Xenopus tropicalis: one gene and its partner. The protein of the gene in region 1 purifies or fractionates together with the protein of each later gene. This does not show direct contact. Links are inferred from orthologs where the notes say so. Each region holds a gene or a part of one and is shown on either strand. Other genes may lie near its edges.

Region 1 (8,728 bases):
AGTGAGTAAGCAGTGTGAGTGAGTAAGCAGTGTGAGTGTATATGAGTGAGTAAGCCGTGTGAGTGAGTAAGCAGTGTGAGTGTATATGAGTGAGTGAGTAAGCAGTGTGAGTGTATGAGTGAGTAAGCCGTGTATATGAGTGAGTGAGTGTATGAGTGAGTGAGTGAGTAAGTAGTGTGTATATGAGTGAATGAGTGTATGAGTGAGTGAGTAAGTAAGTAGTGTGTATATGAGTGAGTGAGTGAGTGAGTAAGTAGTGTGTATATGAGTGAGTGAGTGTATATGAGTGAGTGTATATGAGTGAGTGAGTAAGTGTGTATATGAGTGAGTGAGTATATGAGTGAGTGAGTGAGTAAGTAGTGTGTATGAGTGAGTAGTGTGTTTATGAGTGAGTGAGTGTATGAGTGAGTGAGTAAGTAGTGTGTATATGAGTGAGTGAGTGTATGAGTGAGTGAGTGAGTGAGTGAGTAAGTAGTGTGTATATGAGTGAGTGAGTAAGTAGTGTGTATATGAGTGAGTGAGTGAGTGTATATGAGTGAGTGTATATGAGTGAGTGAGTGAGTAAGTGTGTATATGAGTGAGTGAGTATATGAGTGAGTGAGTAAGTAGTGTGTATGAGTGAGTAGTGTGTATATGAGTGAGTGAGTATATGAGTGAGTGAGTAGTGTGTATATGAGTAAGTGTGTATATGAGTGAGTGAGTGTGTATATGAGTGAGTGAGTAGTGTGTATATGAGTGAGTGAGTGAGTAGAATGTATATGAGTGAGTGAGTGAGTAGGGAGTGAGTGTATATGAGTGAGTGAGTGTATATGAGTGAGTGAGGGAGTGAGTGTATATGAGTGAGTGAGTGTATATGAGTGAGTGAGTGTATATGAGTGAGTGAGTGAGTGTATATGAGTGAGTGAGTGTATATGAGTGAGTGAGTGTATATGAGTGAGTGAGTGTATATGAGTGATTGAGTGTATATGAGTGAGTGAGTGTATATGAGTGAGTGTATATGAGTGAGTGAGTGTATATGAGTGTATATGAGTGAGTGAGTGTATATGAGTGAGTGAGTGTATATGAGTGAGTGTATATGAGTGAGTGAGTGAATGTATATGAGTGAGTGAGTGTATATGAGTGAGTGAGTGTATGAGTGAGTGAGTGAGTGTATATGAGTGAGTGTATGAGTGAGTGAGTGTATATGAGTGAGTGAGTGTATATGAGTGAGTGTATATGAGTGAGTGAGTGAGTGAGTGTATATGAGTGAGTGAGTGTATATGAGTGAGTGAGTGTATATGAGTGAGTGAGGGAGTGAGTGTATATGAGTGAGTGAGTGTATATGAGTGAGTGTATATGAGTGAGTGAGTGTATATGAGTGAGTGAGTGTATATGAGTGAGTGAGTGTATATGAGTGAGTGAGTGAGTGTATATGAGTGAGTGAGTGTATATGAGTGAGTGAGTGTATATGAGTGAGTGAGTGTATATGAGTGAGTGAGTGTATATGAGTGAGTGAGTGTATATGAGTGAGTGAGTGAGTGAGTGTATATGAGTGAGTGAGTGTATATGAGTGAGTGAGTGTATATGAGTGAGTGAGTGAGTGTATATGAGTGAGTGAGTAAGTAGTGTGTATATGAGTGAGTGAGTAAGTAGTGTGTATATGAGTGAGTATGAGTGAGTGAGTGAGTGTATGAGTGAGTGAGTGAGTAAGTAGTGTGTATATGAGTGAGTGAGTGTATATGAGTGAGTGAGTGTATATGAGTGAGTGAGTGTATATGAGTGAGTGAGTGTATGAGTGAGTGAGTGAGTGTATATGACTGAGTGAGTGAGTGTATATGAGTGAGTGAGTGAGTGTATATGAGTGAGTGAGTGAATATGAGTGAGTGAGTGTATATGAGTGAGTGAGTGTATATGAGTGAGTGAGTGAGTGTATATGAGTGAGTGAGTGTATATGAGTGAGTGAGTATGAGTGAGTAAGTAAGTAGTGTGTATATGAGTGAGTGAGTGTATATGAGTGAGTGAGTGTATATGAGTGAGTGAGTGTATATGAGTGAGTGTATATGAGTGAGTGAGTGAGTATGAGTGAGTGAGTGAGTGTATATGAGTGAGTGAGTGTATATGAGTGAGTGAGTGAGTGTATATGAGTGAGTGAGTGAGAGTGAGTGAGTAAGTAGTGTGTATATGAGTGAGTGAGTGTATATGAGTGAGTGAGTGAATATGAGTGAGTGAGTGTATATGAGTGAGTATGAGTGAGTGAGTGAGTGAGTAGTGTGTATATGAGTGAGTGAGTGTATATGAGTGAGTGAGTGAGTGTATATGAGTGAGTGAGTGTATATGAGTGAGTGAGTGTATATGAGTGAGGGAGTGAGTGAGTGAGTATGAGTGAGTGAGTAAGTAGTGTGTATATGAGTGAGTGAGTAAGTAGTGTGTATATGAGTGAGTGAGTGAGTAAGTAGTGTGTATATGAGTGAGTGAGTGAGGGAGTGAGTGTATATGAGTGAGTGAGTGTATATGAGTGAATGAGTGTATATGAGTGAGTGAGTGTATATGAGTGAGTGAGGGAGTGAGTGTATATGAGTGAGTGAGTGTATATGAGTGAGGGAGTGAGTGTATATGAGTGAGTGAGTGTATATGAGTGAGTGTATATGAGTGAGTGTATATGAGTGAGTGAGTGTATATGAGTGAGTGAGTGTATATGAGTGAGTGAGTGTATATGAGTGAGTGAGTGTATATGAGTGAATGAGTGTATATGAGTGAGTGAGTGTATATGAGTGAGTGAGGGAGTGAGTGTATATGAGTGAGTGAGTGTATATGAGTGAGTGTATATGAGTGAGGGAGTGAGTGTATATGAGTGAGTGAGTGTATATGAGTGAGTGTATATGAGTGAGTGTATATGAGTGAGTGTATATGAGTGAGTGTATATGAGTGAGTGAGTGTATATGAGTGAGTGTATATGAGTGAGTGAGTGTATATGAGTGAGTGAGTGAGTAAGTAGTGTGTATATGAGTGAGTGAGTGTATATGAGTGAGTGAGTGTATGAGTGAGTGAGTGTATATGAGTGAGTGAGTGTATATGAGTGAGTGAGTGTATATGAGTGAGTGAGTGTATATGAGTGAGTGAGTGTATATGAGTGAGTGAGTGAGTGAGTAAGTAGTGTGTATATGAGTGAGTGAGTGTATATGAGTGAGTGAGTGAGTGTATATGAGTGAGTGAGTGTATGAGTGAGTGAGTGTATATGAGTGAGTGAGTGAGTGTATATGAGTGAGTGAGTGAGTGTATATGAGTGAGTGAGTGAGTGTATATGAGTGAGTGAGTGTATATGAGTGAGTGAGTGAGTATGAGTGAGTGAGTGAGTAAGTAGTGTGTATATGAGTGAGTGAGTGTATATGAGTGAGTGAGTGAGTGTATATGAGTGAGTGTATATGAGTGAGTGAGTGTATATGAGTGAGTGAGTGAGTATGAGTGAGTGAGTGAGTGAGTAAGTAGTGTGTATATGAGTGAGTGAGTGAGTGGATATGAGTGAGGGAGTGAGTGTATATGAGTGAGGGAGTGAGTGAGTGAGTATGAGTGAGTGAGTAAGTAGTGTGTATATGAGTGAGTGAGTGAGTATGAGTGAGTGAGTGAGTAAGTAGTGTGTATATGAGTGAGTGAGTGTATATGAGTGAGTGAGTGAGTGTATATGAGTGAGTGAGTGAGTGTATATGAGTGAGTGAGTGTATATGAGTGAGTGAGTGAGTATGAGTGAGTGAGTGAGTAAGTAGTGTGTATATGAGTGAGTGAGTGAGTGGATATGAGTGAGGGAGTGAGTGTATATGAGTGAGGGAGTGAGTGAGTGAGTATGAGTGAGTGAGTGAGTGAGTAAGTAGTGTGTATATGAGTGAGTGAGTGAGTATGAGTGAGTGAGTGTATATGAGTGAGGGAGTGAGTGAGTATGAGTGAGTGAGTGAGTGTATATGAGTGAGGGAGTGAGTGAGTGAGTATGAGTGAGTGAGTGAGTAAGTAGTGTGTATATGAGTGAGTGAGTATGAGTGAGTGAGTGAGTGTATATGAGTGAGGGAGTGAGTGAGTGAGTGTATATGAGTGAGGGAGGGAGTGAGTGAGTGAGTGTATATGAGTGAGTAGTGTGCCCGGAGTGGGTTCCGAGTCCCTCCCCCAGTCTCCTCCCTCCCCAGCCCCCTCCCCCGCTCCATCTGCTCCCAGCCCGGCCGGGGATCACATTGTACCGGAGCTCCCCACACGCTGTAGCCGGGCTCGGGGTGCTGCCTCGGGATGCCCCCGGTCGGTGCCCTGGGGGAGCTCCGCTCTTGTTGGCGGGTCCCCGCCATCGCGCATTTCTGCTCCCTCTTCCGCACCGCCTTCCAGCTGCCGGACTTCGAGATAGAGGTGAGGGGCCGGGGGGCCCGGGGGCCTGGGGGCGGGAGCGGAGGCTACACCTGGGCCGGGGGCGGCGTTACGAGTTTGGGGCGATGGCGCTTTGAGTTTGGGGCTAAACTTGGGAGATAAGGGGGGGGGGTACCTGCTACTACTGAGCGGCAACTTTCCCTGGGACTGAGAGACTGCAGCCTGGGTATGGGGCACCCCTGTCTGATGGTATATCCCCAACACCCCCTGTCTGATGGTATATCCCCAGCACCCCCTGTCTGATGGTATATCCCCAGCACCCCTTGAGTAGCCTGAGGGCCGGGGCAATAGCTGCGTTATTCCAATAATTCGATTTCCCAATATTATTCTCTCAGTAATGTGCCCTCCCTACCTATTTGCTCATATATCTAAACTTCTTGGACCCCCAGAAGTCCTATTCTACCTTATTTGCCCTGCATATCCCCCCCCATAGTTCATTTAGATTTCTCTAACCCCCCCCCCCCCATAAGATAGTACGGTCTTATTTAGCTTTTAGCAGCATAACAGGGGTTAAATGTAGCCAGTGGGTTTGAGTGTAACTCATTGCTCATTGATGTGAAGGGTAAGTGCTTGCAGCAAGCCAGCTGTTGTTGCACTACAATTCCCAAGAGGATGCTGGGATTGGTAGTTCTACAACCCACACAGGGGCGTCTCTGCACTGACTACCAGTTTAATGGGAGACTTTATAGCCCTGTGGCACTGGAATATGGGAAACACAATGGGGCCAAACCCATTCGTTCTGCTGGTGTCTTGGGCGCCCAAGTGCTTGGATAGACTTATTTTTCTGGGAATTAAATAGAAATGGTTAAACTTTTCCTTGAGTACTTTGCCCGAGTTCTCTCCGTGCCGCAGGATTAGGGGGATATGCGATTAGTCAGTGAGAATTGCCATTAAATGCCCATAGGATTAACCCCGTATCCGTGTACCTGGGGCACGGCGACCGCTCTGTCTTTATTTCAATAGGGATATAAACCCAGAAATATATATTAAGCATTTTCCCAATACCCATCCATTCATTCTTCATTCTCACTGGGTTTATAGTTATGTGTAATTGTCACTGTGTCTGTCCCTTTCCCTTCCCTGCACTGCTGGTTCTGACTCCTGATACAACTCCCCAATATCCATTCATTCCTCATTCTCACTGGGTTTATAGTTATGTGTAACTGTCACTGTGTCTGTCCCTTTCCCTTCCCTGCACTGCTGGTTCTGACTCCTGATACAACTCCCCAATATCCATTCATTCCTCATTCTCACTGGGTTTATAGTTATGTGTAACTGTCACTGTACCTGTCCCTTTCCCTTCTCTGCACTGCTGGTTCTGACTCCTGATACAACTCCCCAATATCCATTCATCCCGCATTCTCACTGGGTTTATAGTTATGTGTAACTGTCACTGTACCTGTCCCTTTCCCTTCTCTGCACTGCTGGTTCTGACTCCTGATACAACTCCCCAATATCCATTCATCCCGCATTCTCACTGGGTTTATAGTTATGTGTAACTGTCACTGTGTCTGTCCCTCCCTTTCCCTTCCTTGCACTGCTGGTTCTGACTCCTGATACAACTCCCCAATATCCATTCATTCCTCATTCTCACTGGGTTTATAGTTATGTGTAACTGTCACTGTGTCTGTCCCTTTCCCTTCCCTGCACTGCTGGTTCTGACTCCTGATACAACTCCCCAATATCCATTCATTCCTCATTCTCACTGGGTTTATAGTTATGTGTAACTGTCACTGTGTCTGTCCCTTTCCCTTCCCTGCACTGCTGGTTCTGACTCCTGATACAACTTCCCCAATACCCATTCATTCCTCATTCTCCCTGGGTTTATATGTGTTACTCTCATTGCTGTCTGTCCACTGGTTCTGACTCTTGAAGCCATGTAGCAGAAATCTATTCTCCTTGTTTGTTAATCAGCTGCTTCTCCCGTATTGGGTTTACTTCCCCTTTACCGGAGGGTTACAGTAATCACTAGGCACCTCGTTGGTCTCTTGTACCTGAGCGCCAGGGTGCTGGATGATGTAACACCATGTAATTTGTTTTTTTTTTTTTTTTTTTTGTCCGCTGAACCTGTAACATCTGGAGTCGGATCCACGTTCAATGCAACAGAGAGAAAAGAAAAACTTAAATATAGGTCTTCCGAACCATAAATAGGATTGGTGGACAAAATAGAAAGAGTAAAGGGGACATTTCTAGAGGCACCCAAATTTTACCAGTGACAGGTTTATGGCATATGGGGTGCTTGTCTGGCGCTGCCACCCTGTTGGGGTGCTCCAGATACCAGAAAGGAGGTCCTTGTCCCATAGCGTTTAAACCTAAGTGGGTCGGCGACTTACAGACGGGTGTTCTAGATATAAGGTCTAGATAGATAGATATATAGTCCAGATAGATATAAAGTCCAGATATAAACTACTCTTTGGTTGCCAAAATCTGGTTGCTAAGGTCACTGACTTTAGCAACCAGCTTACATGTCAAGCTTTACTTTGTAGGGAAGCAGAATAGAGAGAGAAATCATTAAGCTTTGGGCACAGCCATCTGCGGCATATTTAAATGTTTTTTGTGAAGGTTTACGTGTGATTTCAAAGATAAAGTCCCCCCCCCACCCCTTTGTTGTGTATTGTGGTCCAGCCGGGTCAGGTTGCAGCTTCCTGGTGATGAAGGGGTTTAGCAGAGCTCAGTTTCTCTGCCTATTGGGATGCAATGTGCTGGATGTAATAGAAAAGTTTTGTTCTGTGGGGCAGAGCTGTGATGGGGGGGGGGTCGGGGGTGAGGAGTAAAAGGGGTTGTGGGGCGGGTGGGGGGGAGCTAAGGGGGGAAACCCCTCTGTTTGTTTTGTTCTGTGGCTTGCAGAGGCAGCATGGCATCTCGGGATGGGACAATGTGACCGTGGGGGGGGGGGGGGGGGGGGGGTGGGAGAGGAGGTGGGCTTGCCTTAACCGTTCCTTGGCCTGGAGTCACGTAAGCCATGGCTCTGTGCTGTGCTTGCATGGTCTCTGGCCAGGGGGAGGCTTCTGAGAGCAGCCGGTGTCCCACCAACTACAGCTCCCAGCAGCCCCCATTAATTCCAAGACTTGTAAGTCAGCCATGTTTGGGCAGATACAGGCTGCCCAGCCCTGATTATATAAATCAGTCAGCACAATGGTCAGGGGCTTTTGTAGTCTATATGCCAGCACATCAGTAGCCAGGTACTTAACCCTTCCCATGCTTGCCTTTATATGGTATGATATCTAATATCCTTATCATTTACAGTAGGGGGTACATTATCCCTTATAATACATGAGTGATACTCAGAGTTCCCTGTATAACTCAGCCTGCAGCCTTGTGCCTTTATATGGGCACAGAACCCCTCAGTGACTGCTAATATCCTTATCATTTACAGTAGGGGGTACATTATCCCTTATAATACATGAGTGATACTCAGAGTTCCCTGTATAACTCAGCCTGCAGCCTTGTGCCTTTATATGGGGGGCACAGAACCCCTCAGTGACTGCTAATATCCTTATCATTTACAGTAGGGGGTACATTATCCCTTATAATACATGAGTGATACTCAGGGTTCCCTGTATAACTCAGCCTGCAGCCTTGTGCCTTTATATGGGCACAGAACCCCTCAGTGACTGCTAATATCCTTATCATTTACAGTAGGGGGTACATTATCCCTTATAATACATGAGTGATACTCAGAGTTCCCTGTATAACTCAGCCTGCAGCCTTGTGCCTTTTATATGGGCACAGAACCCCTCAGTGGCTGCTAATATCCTTATCATTTACAGTAGGGGGGTACATTGCTGTATATTAGCTATATGCCTATGCCGCCGGGTGTTGTTTTGCAAGAAATGAAGGAGAAGGAAAGAAAAGGGACAAATATTGATTTGGAATTTCCATTCCGCCATCGGGAGAGCTGCTATTTATTCTTTGGGCGGTGTGATTTCGGGTCAAGAGCAGCAGGGGAAAGAAAATCAAAGTGGTTGCATGTGATTGGCTGGATATTGTACAATTTCCCCACACACACGTATTGCCAGGGTGAGAGTTCAGCCTTATTTGTTGTGCTTTGTACTTTTACCCCCCCCCCCCCCCCACTAAGGGGGCCCCTCTGCTGCTGGGGCCCAGCTCTGTTTTTGCTGGGGGGCTATGAATGCCCCTGCACTGCTGGCTCTGGATAGGAGTTGAAGCACATGGCTTTTTTGTTATGATAAAAATGGGGAGGATATTTCCCTCCCCGCTGTGGCTCTACCCATTTACACCGAGGCCCCGCCCCCAGCCCCCCCTCTCCTGGGTGATGTCACTGCATGGGAGGGGGCTCGGGCAGGGGTGTTTGTTTTCCTTGCTCTGCAGAGATGCTTTTATTTAA
Region 2 (8,171 bases), on another chromosome or scaffold:
GGGAAAAATATCACAGCAAAAGATAATTTTGTAATTTTACCATATGAAGACGTTCAACTAATTTCTGATCTCCTAAACAGTTGTTGGTATCGAACCAAGAGTCAAAGTCCTAAAAAGAGAAACAGTTAAAAACACTATACATATCATTAAGTGTAAAACAAGCAGTAGTACTGGACTCAAGGTGGCTATATATGGGCAGCTAATGCCTCCTCCGATCAAACCTCAAGGTGGGTATATTGGGTGCAGTGAGATCTGCTTGTTTAATGACCTCGGCAAGCAAGTGTTTTTTTTCAATGTACTGCCACCTTAAAACTAACACCTACATGCAACCTTGACCTTCAAAAGTTGCATACAGAACTGTTAATCGGCTGTCTTCTTCTACATACTACTAGGAGTCAGATGGATACTGTTTTTGAAAGGGAAAGACTTTAAAGGAACAAAAAAAAACAAAAACAATAAAAAGACAGTAGAGAAGGAATAAAGGTAGGTAGATGGAGCTGAACATAATGTTTTACAGCCTTTTGTCTATTGTCATGTCACTGCTTATATGAACTGTATCAGTTGATCCATTGGGCCTCCAACAGATGCTGAAGTGCACTGCCTTTTGGAGAGTGTCCCTCCAGAAAATATTACAACTGAAAAGTACATTCAATAATAGCATAATTTTGCATATTACCTGTACATGGATTTAAGCTGCTGTGGAAACATACAAGAGACTAAATATTTTCCTTTAAATGCATACTCCAGTGCTAAGGTTCAAACTGTATGCAATATCAAACTATAGTGTCACATCAAGTTACCTCAGCAGAATTAAAAACATCTGGTAACAGAAAGTTCAGCAACGCCCAGAGCTCATGTAGATTATTTTGAAGTGGTGTCCCTGTGAGTAAAAGACGATTTGTTGTCTTAAACTCTCTCACAATTTCAGACAGCTGTAGAGAAAAAGAAATAAAGTTTAAATTCAGGTACTGTTAAAAAAAAAAATCAATACCGCATACACAACAAAAGCCTTTATACATGACAGGAATTTGGGTTTTTCCTACCAATTAACCCAATGGCCACTAGACACTACATAATCTGCTCACAGAACCATGCAAATATCACTTATCAGACTGCAGGCCAGTCATCAATTGCTGGGGTGAGATGGTCAATACAGAAAACACAAAGCAATAGAGTTGAGTTAGAAATAACTGAAGTGTATGCAAAACCATCCTATAGCTGGCCAGTGGAACTGTGATTTTGTCCCAAGTGTGAAGGACACCTGTTTTTTTTTGTGGGAGAGTTTATTGTAGTATACAATTTGCATGGCAAGGTGAGTGCAAGGCCACTGCTGCTGCTTCTTAATGCGTCTTAATATTTCTTAGCATAATTAAACTCCAGCTTCTTTTGGTGTTAAAAAAAAAAAAAAAAAAAAAAAAAATTAACACCTACCTTAGATTTCTCATTTTTGATCCTGTGAGCTTCATCAATAACTAGGTATCTCCAGTTAAACTTTTTAAAAACAGACTTTTCCTTGATTAACATTTCATAAGATGTTACACACACATCCCACTCTCCTGGTAGGAGTACATCACGGACAAATGCAGCCTAAGAACAAATGCAATTGGGGAGAAAAAAAATCTTAATAAATGGCACAACCTATAATGCATGCATCCACAGTACAATCTGAAGAGAATAATTCTATATTGGAAGTTGGAAGCTAATCAGTAGTGTCAATAATAATGGATACACTGAACAGACTTTCAGCCAAGGCAAACTTTACAGCAGTCGGATATTTTAGATATAGTTTTAGTACAGGGACACCAAACAGCGATGTGTTTAACCAGTACTGCAATGCTTCATTTATCGATGGCTTGAAAAATCTATCTTGTACATTGTGTTGCACCTAAAATAAACATTTTATTGAGCAATTAGGGCCACATATAAAAATCTTGAAATAGTTGTCACCCAGCTTTATTGAAGCTGGGTTTTTAAAAGTCCACAATGACCCAAAAGCAAATCTGGAAAAGAAAGCCATAATGACTAAGTCAAGCCTTTCTGGGTTCAAGTGTGCTTTTATGGTTCTAAATAGATATGCAAAGTACTGTTGTCACCATGATATGTACAATCCCAAAGACAAATTTGAAATATTATCCTATCTGATAATGATAAGGCTATTAACCTTATCCTTAATTTTCTCATTAATGAACCCCCTCAATTTATCATTAATCCTTTCATACAAAGGGATTTTGCATCACGTGCTCAAAAAATCACAACAAAGTGAAAGCTACTTACTCTATGATCTTTGTCACCAATAAGACAAATAGCACAAAGTGAAGGAACCCATCTTTTGAACTCTGCCATCCAGTTGTGCAAGGTTGACTTTGGAACCAAGACCATGTGAGGCCCAGGGATACTTCTGTAGTGCTTCATATACCCCAAAAGACTGATTGTCTGTAAAGTCTTTCCTAGACCCTGTAAGAGAGAAAGGAAACCGTATATCAATGTTTTAAACAAACTGTAGATGTAAATATTACTTAAAAAACTAACTATGTATTGAAAGGTAACTCACTTCTATTCCTGAATAAAGTATTTTGAAAATCAAGAAAAACTTTAGTTTGTGTTTAGTAGAAAAACTTATTTTGTTTCTTTGGTTATACAACTAAGTTTGACACCTGTGGAATTTAGGCCTATTCAGCAGGGCACTCTAGTGTCTGAAACTGCTGCCTACCATACAGTTTAAAAAACAAAGTGTCACCTCTCACATTTTGAAATGCAAACTAGAGCAATTTCAGTATGGAAAGGACCTGAAGTTCAATAAAAATGCAGAATAAAAAAAGAAATTTACCATTTCATCAGCCAAAATTCCATTTATGCCATTCTCGTACAGCGATATTAACCAATTTAATCCTCTGACTTGGTAATCTCTTAGTGTACCACCTTTTACATCTGTGAATAAGACAAGTACAATAATGTCATTTTTCAAGCACATAGCTTTGGTTTTCATTAGATTTTCTTAAAAACAAAACAAAAACAAACTATATATCTTTCTATAAAAAGATCTGAGTCACAGAACCAGCAACAAATTACTCAAATATGCATCCAAATATACACAAGCCATACCAACACAGCAGTATATGAAAATCAAGTAACCAATAGGGACAAGAGACACACACTTTGCCTTCAGTCTATGCAGTTTTCATTCATACTTTTGCACTATATCTAAAATTAAATATTCCAAGATCTTTAACTCTCAATAACTAAAATCTGCAGTATGCCCAACAGTAAGTTGAATCCAGCCAAAACATACTTACATGATGGGGAGTCTTCAAATCTGGTGCAAACATTTGTGGTTTTGGAACTTTCAGTTAAAAGTTCCTCATCCTCCTCCTGTTCTGTCCGGCGATGGCGATAACTAAGAAAAAGCCATTACTTTTGTTAGTTCTCAGCAAAATAAGGCTGACTCGTATGTTAGGGTCAAGAAGCAACACAAGAACAGTATAAGGCTCATTTACAAACACGGGAACAAATGGATGCATTCAGGCTCCTCGCTCATGTAAATATTTGCATCTTCCCAGTCTGTTTTGGTCAATTGCAAGCAACTTCACCTACTGACGCATGGAAAGACTGAGGTTACTGATAAATTACTGCCACCTTCAGGTTAAAGGTTCCCAACGCAGGCTGCAAATTGTGAGCAGCAGGCTTGCAACTAAGCAATCATGTGCAGGTGTCTTAACAGCCAGTGTCAGAAATAATATAATCGTGCATAGTCACTATTTCGCTGAAATCATGAGAAGAGGTCCAAGTATACATTTTTTTTTTTTTTTTTTTTTAAATAATGCCAGAATATTTTAAAAATCTACTGTGCATTAACTAAATAGTTACAGTTATAAAAACACCTTATACTAGAGTAGCACCTATTGAAATGTCAACAGCAGCAAAACTAGAATTCTCTGAGCAGCGCTGGTATAATCCTTGCTGTTGTAGTTCTGCAAAAAAATTCCCTAATCCCATTAAAGTTCTCTTGATGTATTGAAAATGAGAATTTAAGGAAAAACGGAATGGATGTAATATATAGTTAGCAGGAAAAACAGATGGAGGACAGCTAAAATACAAGGAGAGAAGGAACTGGACAAACAAAACATTTTTACTGCTAAGAGTTTATTTTTCTAATATGCATAGAGTAACACAATGGGACAGCCTTGGCCACTTACTCTCCCATAGACAGCAAATCTTGTTTCTCGTCTTTCTTTAGGCGAGGACGTCCTGGTTTCATTTTTAAAGGCGAGGTTGGGGTCTTTTGTGCAGCTGGTTGAATGAAATGTGCAAACACTTCTGTCTGTTTCAAAAGGTACTCAAATCTGTTTGAGCGGTCAGTTTTCTGAGGGGAAAAAAATGATATATATGCAGCCAAATTAAACATACATACCTGATAATTTACTTACTGTAGCATTCTAATTAATTAAACATGACGGGTGGGAAGCAAAGTTTCTACAGAAAAGACTAAGATGGAAATTCTAAAAAAATTGGGCTATATAACATGTAAAAGATTTTGGAGTTCTTTGTCTACCACCTCTGGGTGCTAAAAGCACAACATCAAAATGCACCAAACCAGATCTCACTATTTTCTGTAAGCATTGCATGAAAATGCTAATGGAAGCAATTTTCACAAGATTTTCAACTAAAACATGCTTGTTTGAATTTTTAGGGAAAATAAAGTAAAAATCAGGCATGTTAGGCTTTTCCATGCAGTTCTCACAGACAATAAGCTACATATGATGTTTTTGAGTGCTGAAAATTTGAAGCACAATATGGTTCCTGAAAACCCTGTGCTATTATCCTAATGCAGAGGTCTTTGAATTGTTTAGGCTCACGCACCCCTTTTTTTTTTTTTTTTAAAAAAAAGCTTTAGTTAGACAAACCCTGCATTAAACCCTGCATTGGCCTTGATTGCCTATTTTGAAGTGGCAATAAAAAAGGAAAGAATCTGGACTTGGGGTATAGGAGCACTAACAAGAGGTTATTACCAGTGTGAGCACTGCTCATTATTTACAGAAATTGCTGTGTAGGGAATTGTAGTGACACCTGCTATTAAACTAGAGCTCCTGTTTCTATTCTTTGGGAAAAAAAAATAATGTTTCAATTTCACAACTTTCCCATGCAAAATCTGCTATATAACCAAAATTTGAAAAATATAAAATGTACCCTCTTTTCTTCATAAGCTGGATCCATCTCATTGCCTTCTTTCGATTTATTAAGAGAATCGTCATCATCTTCATTATCAAGCTCATAATCCTGAAGAAAAATGAATAATTACTAGGTATCAATGACTTAATGCTGCAATGCTTGAATATTTTCTAACTAGGCTTTTATTTTGTTTTACTAATTTTAAGCAAATAAAGAACTGGGGCCTTGTCCCTGTAGTGCCACCCAATGGACCCACCTTGTATGTACACAGGATTAGAACAAATTACATAGTCTAAGCACAAGTGCTACTAAGCTTTTTTAGGCTGTAAATAACTTTATATTGCACATTTAATAAGTACCACATATGAACATGATGCCCTGCAAAGAATTTAAATTGCAGACTCTTCATTCGCTGCTTGATGTGCCATGCTTACAGACCACTGTCACACTGTCATGAATTTAAGTGAAAAGAAAGTTTGTAGCCCCTTTTTGCAGAGCTGGGGTCATTTGCTGAGAAGTCTGGGAATAGGCAGCTTGTGACACTGTATGCAGTGCCACTATTTTGTGATGATCTGTGTGCTCCTGACAGGAAATAATGCAGCCTTAACTGTAACAGGAAGAACTGTGGGCATAAAATACAGAACTGTCCATTAACTGGCTGATGTGACCTCACATGTATGTGTGCCCTTGGTTTGTGTGCCCAGTCAATCATATGAGCCAAAGGCAAAAAAATCCAGTAGCACACACAGTGTGCTACTGGATTTTTTTGCTGTTGGATATTGACCCCCATGCAAGGTGAGGTTCTTCCAGTATTTGCACCTGATACCCGTTTGGGTAAGTTAACAGAGGGTTGAGCTCCCCAATACTGCTATTGCTAATCATATGAGCCAAAGGCACAGCATGGCCCCTTAGTACTCACAAGTGGCACATACAGGTATGACACCAGTTATTCAGAATGCTCAGGACGTGGTGTTTTGTGTAATTTAGATATCCATACTTAAAATCAATTTAAAAATCATTTAAATATTAAATAAGTCCTGTAGGATTGTTTTATCTCCAATAAGGATTAATAAGTTTATTACTACAGAAAAAAAGGAAAGCGTTTTTAAAAAAAAATTGAATTCAGTGCGTGTATGGCAACTCAGCGAGGCGACCAATATCGCAGAAGGCTGCCGATATCGACTCGCCGATCGGGCGGGTTAAAAGATTTTGATCGGGCGCCATTGAAGGCGCCTGAGTAAAATCTGCCTTCACGGCTGAATTGACAGAAGGAGGTAGAAATCCTATTGTTTCTACTTTTCCATATCTGATGATTCAGCCCTGAATGTCAGGGTGGGTTGGAACGATCTTTCGTGCAACAGAAAGATCAAAAATCGCCACGTGTGTGGTCATCTTAAGGGCTCTGGCACACGGGGAGATTAGTCGCCCGCAACAAATCTCCCTGTTCACGGGCAACTAATCTCCCCGAAATGCCATCCCACTGGCGAAAATGCAAATTACCGGTGGGATGGCATACGTGGCGCCGCGATTTCCCTGAAATAGCGGAAGTTGTCTTGAGAGGAAACTTCCGCGATTTCAGGGAACAAATAACAAATCTGCCCTTTTTATTTCCTTACACAAGGCAAACAGCCAAAGTTTTCCCCACCTCTTATGTAGATGAAATTTCTGTTACAGAAGTTGGAAGGACAGTGCGATGCATTTGAAGAAGCACACAGTCCTCTTAGCTTCTGTTAAAGTTTTTCTTTTAGGGGCAGGAACATTTAATTTTTATCCCCACCAAGGCCTATTTTTACCTGGCTGGCAATTTCTTCCCTACTAGCGATACACTTGAGCTAGCTTGAAGTTAAAAAAAAAAATAATCCGATTGTTTGGCCCTGGGGCCAAACGACCGGATTATGTAGGCAGCAATGGGGCAGTCGGTTCGGGGACCGCATCAACGAGCTGATGCGGCCTCCGATCCGACTGAATCTTTTAACCTGGCCGATCGATATCTGGCCAATTTCAGGCCAGATATCGGTCGGCCAGCCCGCTCGTTTCTGCCCCTACACGGGCAGATAAGCTGCCGAGCCGGTCCAAGGGACCGATATCGGCAGCTTCTATCGGCCCGTGTAAGGGGGCCTTTAGTCTAAATTTAAGAGATATGTAAAAACTGGTAATGTAACTGAATTTGTGACTTTCCACTGTTGAAAATCATGGGATTACGGACTGGTTATAGTGCATAAATTTTAAACGTCTATTCATAAGTCCTTAAATGTCTATTATGTATATATTCTGGTACTTATGTATTTAGATTTGCCCCCTAATAAAGGGGCTAATAGACGTTAAAGGAGACATAGGATAAATGAAAAAATCTCTAATCTTGTAGGCAATTATGAATACTATATGGTGCTGGTTTCACTTTGGTCTTTAATACCACTATCTGTAAAAATGAACCCTTTATCAGAGCTTCCTATAGATTCTCTCGGGTCCCTGCCTGTGTTTCAAATGCAGTGTGGGCATGTTCTAACTTTCCCTGCCAGAAGCACAGTAGGATAGCACACACACCTCTGCACAGATAGGCTTCAGTTCCCTATCAGGTCAGCCTAATTGCTGATTGGCTTCAATCCTACAGTGCAAAGTGCTGCATGGCCTGGGAACGGAGGAAGTGGAACAGATGGGCTGGACTTTTACCCATTTGGATAATAAATGGGTTAAGCCCCCTTAACCTCAGCTATATCACATTTATTTTTTTTCTGGGGAGAACACTGGCAAGAACTATTAAATGACTGGACTGGGAAATGAAATAAACCCTGGTTTATCAGGTGCAAAGAAAGCCAAACAGTCCCCACAGGCCCAATAAACAGGGACTGACTACAAACAGCTGTTCATTGAACAGGGAGAACTGATTGCTTAGAAATACAGTATTCCATCAACTATTTATAATAAGTCAGGCGAATAAAAATAAAGCCAAAAGGCTGAAAAACAGGAACACAAAGATAACTAATTTAGATCAAGGGCAGAAAAGA

The links.
Region 2: the proteins of cecr2 (region 1) and smarca5 purify together in Homo sapiens (affinity purification with mass spectrometry; 3 studies listed by BioGRID and IntAct, with this or other methods). This does not show direct contact. The link is inferred for Xenopus tropicalis from reciprocal best matches to the Homo sapiens genes CECR2 and SMARCA5.

Annotation. Positions count from the first base shown.
Region 1 is NC_030679.2:8,773,501-8,782,228, reverse strand, and holds the start of cecr2 (cat eye syndrome critical region protein 2), read left to right. Parts: upstream 1-4,109; 5' UTR 4,110-4,248; coding exon 4,249-4,362; intron 4,363-8,728. UniProt on the Homo sapiens protein: Regulatory subunit of the ATP-dependent CERF-1 and CERF-5 ISWI chromatin remodeling complexes, which form ordered nucleosome arrays on chromatin and facilitate access to DNA during DNA-templated processes such as DNA replication, transcription, and repair.
Region 2 is NC_030677.2:59,232,431-59,240,601, forward strand, and holds part of smarca5 (SWI/SNF-related matrix-associated actin-dependent regulator of chromatin subfamily A member 5), read right to left. Parts: intron 5,275-8,171; coding exon 5,185-5,274; intron 4,361-5,184; coding exon 4,194-4,360; intron 3,395-4,193; coding exon 3,294-3,394; intron 2,929-3,293; coding exon 2,828-2,928; intron 2,455-2,827; coding exon 2,275-2,454; intron 1,588-2,274; coding exon 1,432-1,587; intron 933-1,431; coding exon 801-932; intron 110-800; coding exon 41-109; intron 1-40. UniProt on the Homo sapiens protein: ATPase that possesses intrinsic ATP-dependent nucleosome-remodeling activity.